Oryzias latipes: one gene and its partner. The protein of the gene in region 1 purifies or fractionates together with the protein of each later gene. This does not show direct contact. Links are inferred from orthologs where the notes say so. Each region holds a gene or a part of one and is shown on either strand. Other genes may lie near its edges.

Region 1 (2,209 bases):
TCTGTTATTCTGAAAGTGGATGCATCAGAATGGAGCGGAGCCGGGAGCCTGCCGATTGTAGGTTAAACTTCACACCTACATGCTTTAGCCAACAGCATTTCTGCATCTGCTCACCACGATTTCAACATAGAAATACTCCAATTTCTTACATTTCTTTACGTCTTCCATCCTGAGAAATGTGCCACAGGAACATGTTAAAAACACCAAAAACAGGATTTCTATTGAGTGGGTCTCTAAATTCAGGCACACGTCCATCACATGTTTTTTGTTAAACACATCAAGCTTTTTTTTTTTAAACACCCGATTCAGAGTTCATCCATAGATTTAATATTTTTTTAAGCATTCGTGGCTCGTCTGATGACTATTTTGCTTTTTCCAACATTAATCATCTTTTTTGACCAACATTGAACTTTTACAGTTAATGTCAGGCATTAATGTCGTCTTAGATTTGTTCCTTACGATGTCCCACAAACATGAGGAGGAGCAGATGAATGTTTGTAGATATTCTCTGGATCAGTGCTTCATTTCTACATCATTTCTCATCCATGAACCCTCCCAGAGTGGGACAGACCTGGTGTCATACAGCTCCCAGCGCTCCCTGTAGTAATACTGCTCCAGGCTCTTGAACCAGTGGGTGGGCTCACGGCTCCTGGTGCGGTTCAGCAGGTCCTGAAAGGTGGGGGACACATACAGGTCTTGATCTATGGGGAAGGGCATGCGGTAGTGCAGGTTGTGGAGAAGGTGGTACGCCCCCTGGAGGACGGAGCGAGTTGGGTAGTACATGGTAACCTGAAACGAGAAAAGCGTGGCAGTGAGGGGGGGCTGTTGGTCTCCTACAGGGCTGAGCAGCAGGAGGTGGGCCGACCTCGTGCAGGGACTGGCTGCTGAACACTGTAAACCAATCTGTGGGCTCGGCCTCCAAAGCAGGCAACAAGGAGCGGCCGGTGAGGAGGACTGCCGCTGGGCTGCCGGGGAGGCGGTACAGGGGGTACGGCACAGAAAACCAGTCCAGAATGGTGGGGGTGATGTCTGTGGTACAACAACAACAACAACAAAAAACACAAAAGAGTATGAGCAAAGAAAAGATCAGCAAAAACATTTCTGGGGCAGTCACATCAGAAATCTGTGGATTTGTCACATTTTATCTCAACTATATTTGAATGAAGGTTGCTTTTATCCCTTCAGTTTCTCCAAGCTGCTTTTTTCCCGTCCTCGGTCGCCCCCCTGTGGCTGTTCAAGAGCATTGCAGGAGAAAAGAAGGACGAGAGCGTCACATTAAAATCTTTCTACAGCTCTCCTGAACCACGCCGGTATTTCTGTCCGGTCTGGAAGTTTGGTCTTTTCTCCTTGCAGTTCTGTCCCATGAGCTCCACCAGGAAGACTTCAGCTGATTTTTTTTCCTTTTTGGAAGAGAAACGTCGGCAATCTTAGGAAGAACTTTGTAAGGACGGTGCATGAATGTCAGTGAAACGTTCTCTGACCACTGTCTTCTATCAGTCAGGAGCCAATCTGACAGGAAATCAGAGTGGACAGAGGTTTCTGAGTTGGAGGCTGAGCATGCTGTGAGTGTGTGTGTGTGTGTGTGTGGGGGGGGTCCTGCTCTGTTTCTCATGTCTTGTTGCAGTTTCTATTCTTTTTGATCTTTTGACTTGGGTTCTGCACGTTCAGGTTCTTTCTCTTACAGAAACTTTGTTTCTTCTCGTTGGTTTTCTCGCAGATGTGCTTTCCTGTCTTCCCTGACCCCCTCCCGCAGAGGCAGACCTGGGAGGGGTAGGAGGATTGTCTGAAATCTCAATTGGTCCCAGTTATTCTGATCGATTAATGAAACTTTCTAAATGATCTGGATGAAAAGATTCAGCCGCTCTGTGGGGGAGTCACATGTTCATTTACCATGAAGCCCATCTCCCTCACCACCCCCCACCCCCATCACCCTTACCTAGCAGGCTGACGAAGGCCTGGCTGCTTTCCCCCCAGCGTTCCCTGCGCTCCGGAGACGACACCAGCATGGGCTCTGCGGTTCCGGAGTGATAGAGATTGGTTCTGCCATTCGGGAAAGGGATGCCGTTATCTGAGCTGTAGATGATCAGGGTGTCGTTCTCGTAACCCGCCTCTCTGAGCTCCTCCAGAACCAGCCCGATACCTGCAGGAGAAATGTGCAGCTTCAGCGTTTGGGCTTTTGTTTTGGCGTCTCTGCTCTGGTGCTGGTACT
Region 2 (3,500 bases), on another chromosome or scaffold:
GGGGTTTATACAAATCTACACTCTAGTTTCTTGAAGCTATATAACCTCTTTTTGTGATAGTAAAACCTGTCCAACACAAAAAGCCTTCAGCTCTAATCTGTTTGCTCAGCTGTTGGACAGAACAAGTTAAAAAAAAAAAAAAAAAAAAAAAAAAAAAGAACAAGATATTTTGGTGTTCTTGAATATAACCCAGATATAAAACAGTTAATTAAGTGAACTAATAAAGATGTTTAAACGTAAATAAACCACACTCATCCTCTTTTATACTGAGCCCAGGAACTGACGTGGGTAAAATAACACTTAAATTTCTGCCATGTTTATAGTAAATCCACTAGATATGAGTTGGGAAGTCATTTGTTTTGGTGCCAAATAGAAGTTTAAACAGTAAACTGATTCTTGTCAGCGTTTTGTAAGTACGTTTTTTTTTTTTTTTTTGTGCAGAAAGATGTTTATGTAGTGTATATTAAACAAACTAGCATTAATGGTAATCAGTCATTAACTCAAATTTTTTACTAAATTTTAAAATAATTTTTGAATTATATCACCTCTAAAAATGGAAATGCATAAAAAAGGAGATAATTGTGTGTGTGCATACAGCGGGGAAAATAAGTATTGAACACGTCAACAATTCTCTCAAAAAACACATTTCTAATCGAGCTATTGACACGAAATTTTCACCAGATGTCGGCATCAACTCAAGTAATGCACACATAGAAAGAAATCCAAACATTTATGTCCATAAATGAAGTTATGTATTCGACTGTTTTCTCCATGCAGGAGGCGTCTTGAGGCTGTAATCACCAACAAAGGTTTTTGCACTAAGTAGTAAATAAATTTCAGTAAGCGTGTTCAATACTTATTCCCTGTGCCATTTCACTTAATTACACATAACTTCATTTATGGACATAAATGTTTGGATTTCTTTCTATGTGTGCATTACTTGGGTTGATGCCGACATCTGGTGAAAATTTCGTGTCAATAGCTCGATTAGAAATGTGTTTTTTGAGAGAATTGTTGACGTGTTCAATACTTATTTTCCCCGCTGTATCTGTATATTTTCCTATATATGTGTATCTGAAACTTAATGAGTACTCATTAGAGGGAGCCGGATATAATAGATAGTGGGTGCACAAGGAAATAAGATTGGTGAAGGGCATGGGAATGAGAACTTATAAGGCTTTTACTTCTTCTCACTCACTTCCAGTTATTTGTTGTATTTTTTCATTTTATTTTGTCATATGTTTCCATTTAAAGATTCACTCCGATCATCTTCTGATCTATTTTTAAAGCCTTCCCAGTGGTCTTTTACTTATGAATTGTTTTTATCCCCGCTGTTGTTTTCTAGTACATAGTTGCAGAGCGGCAGTATTTGATTAGAAATTCGTCTCTTGAGTTGTGGAGGACTGTTGGCGGAGAGGAATCCCGCCCCCCTTCCCTGTCTGCTGCTGATTGATGATTTGAATAACGAAATACTCTGAAATAAATTCTAAGCCTAAATTATATTATATGTTCCCTATCGTCAAAAAAAAGCCACAGTTAAATGTTGAAAATACCTTTTTCATTAGAGTGGGGCTTTAAAAATACGTCGGAAAGAAAACATTTTCATCACCATTTTCATTGTGTTTCTTTTATTTCTGAAGTTTCTCAGTCTAAGTGACATTTTAATGCCGCCCACAGATGGCGTGGATTTCTGGAGGAGAGTTTCTGATGGGAACAGACCAGCCTGGCATCGCTGCAGATGGCGAGGGCCCACAGCGGCCGGTGCACGTGGACTCTTTCCACATGGACATTCATGAAGTAACCAACCGACAGTTCCAGAGCTTCGTCCGTGCCACAGGGTACATCACTGAGGTAATTCATGTTTTCAGATTTAGAAATGAGTTTTGACTGTGATCCTGTCTTTCGTTCAAACGCTTTATCTTTTGTGTCAGGCGGAAAAATTTGGAGACTCGTTTGTATTTGAGGGAATTGTGAGCGAAGACGTCAAAAGCCAAATCAGCCAAGCAGTAAGTCCATTCACTGTTCAGTTTCCATTCATCGCCCAGCAGCAAGCTCCATCTACAGTCTAAACTTAGATGGGCTTTCTTCCATCAAGAAAACACCAACTGAGGACACAGCAACATTTTTTACTGCCCCACCCCGCACAGAACTAGGTGATAGCTGACAGATGCAGGTGGTTATTATGGTGGTTGCTATCGGAATGTGCAGCATTCAAGTGCCAGGGGTGGAAAAGTTCACAGATCCGAGTCAGGTTAGGTCAGGTCCCTGCTTCCTGGTTTCAGATTTCCTCGTGACTTAGAGGAATTCATCAGGAAAGACAAAGTGAGAGCACTCAAAGTATTAAAGCTTTGATGCCTAGAGCTAGTCAAGCTTGTGCCAAATTTAGATTTATGTTTAAATTAATAAATGAACAGGTTTCTTTGGTCTTAAAATGACACATAGAATTTAAAAAGTGTACATAAAAATACTAAATAATTAGGATGGAGTGCTTAAAGCTTTTCTTTACTCCGTTTTCTTTTAATTAGACTTACATTTACATGTTTTTTAAGATCTCCTCATATTATCCTTCCTCAGAGAGTATCTCTTTGCTGAATGCATGTGTCTTGTTTCCTATAAACAAATCCAATTACTGTGATTTTGCAACATCTTGCTTTGGATCTAAAGAGAAATTTGTTAGGAGCAATTATTAGCTAAAACAACAAAAAAGGCCTTTGCATTCTTTACAGGAAGACTGCATGAATCAGTTTTGACATAGAACTTTTATGAAATGTAAAGAAAAGTAAAAGTATTTTGAACATTTATTTCAGATTTCTGTCTTTTTAGATACATTTTTTTAAATATAATGCGAAGTTGCCATATAGGTTACAATCAAAATAAGATAGTATGCTGGAAGACTTTTTCAAGTATCTTATATCTGGTAAAACCAAAGTATATTCTGCTTTATAAAGCATCCAGCGTGTTCATGGGTTGGCTACAGGGGCCTCGACACCACAGACCTCTCCCAGATGAAAGCCAGACGCAGGGAATTCACTGCTTCATCTCAGCTGTCAGGTGCAGCTTCAGCCTGAGAGGCATCACTGAAATCTGTGCCAGCCGTTACTGGAACTATTGTGTAGAGAGTTTGCATCAAACCCGGAAACATGTCTGTTGACTTAAAAAAAATGGAGGAGAAAAACACAATAAAACACCAAAATCCGTTCTTCCTTCTTCAAAACAACAAAAAAAAACAGGTGGCTGCTGCCCCCTGGTGGCTTCCAGTGAAAGGGGCGAACTGGAAGCACCCTGAAGGTCCAGACTCCAACATCACAGACAGGCGAGTACACAGTTCAGGATCCATATTACAACACTTAATTTTCTAACCACTCAGAGTTCATATGCAGACTTTGCTTTATTAAGGGAAACATTTTGATAAAATTGAGTGTGCTCATTAAAGCTGCTTATTGCAGGATGGATCATCCTGTCGTTCAGGTTTCTTGGAATGATGCCTTGGCTTACTGCTC

What was found. Proteins that work in one complex are often made in the same cells at the same time.
Region 2: the proteins of sgsh (region 1) and sumf1 purify together in Homo sapiens (co-immunoprecipitation; 3 studies listed by BioGRID and IntAct, with this or other methods). This does not show direct contact. The link is inferred for Oryzias latipes from reciprocal best matches to the Homo sapiens genes SGSH and SUMF1.

What each region holds. Positions count from the first base shown.
Region 1 is NC_019859.2:28,826,338-28,828,546, reverse strand, and holds part of sgsh (N-sulphoglucosamine sulphohydrolase), read right to left. Parts: intron 2,141-2,209; coding exon 1,937-2,140; intron 1,030-1,936; coding exon 866-1,029; intron 790-865; coding exon 572-789; intron 1-571. UniProt on the Homo sapiens protein: Catalyzes a step in lysosomal heparan sulfate degradation.
Region 2 is NC_019863.2:26,833,809-26,837,308, forward strand, and holds part of sumf1 (sulfatase-modifying factor 1), read left to right. Parts: intron 1-1,677; coding exon 1,678-1,851; intron 1,852-1,931; coding exon 1,932-2,006; intron 2,007-3,230; coding exon 3,231-3,313; intron 3,314-3,446; coding exon 3,447-3,500.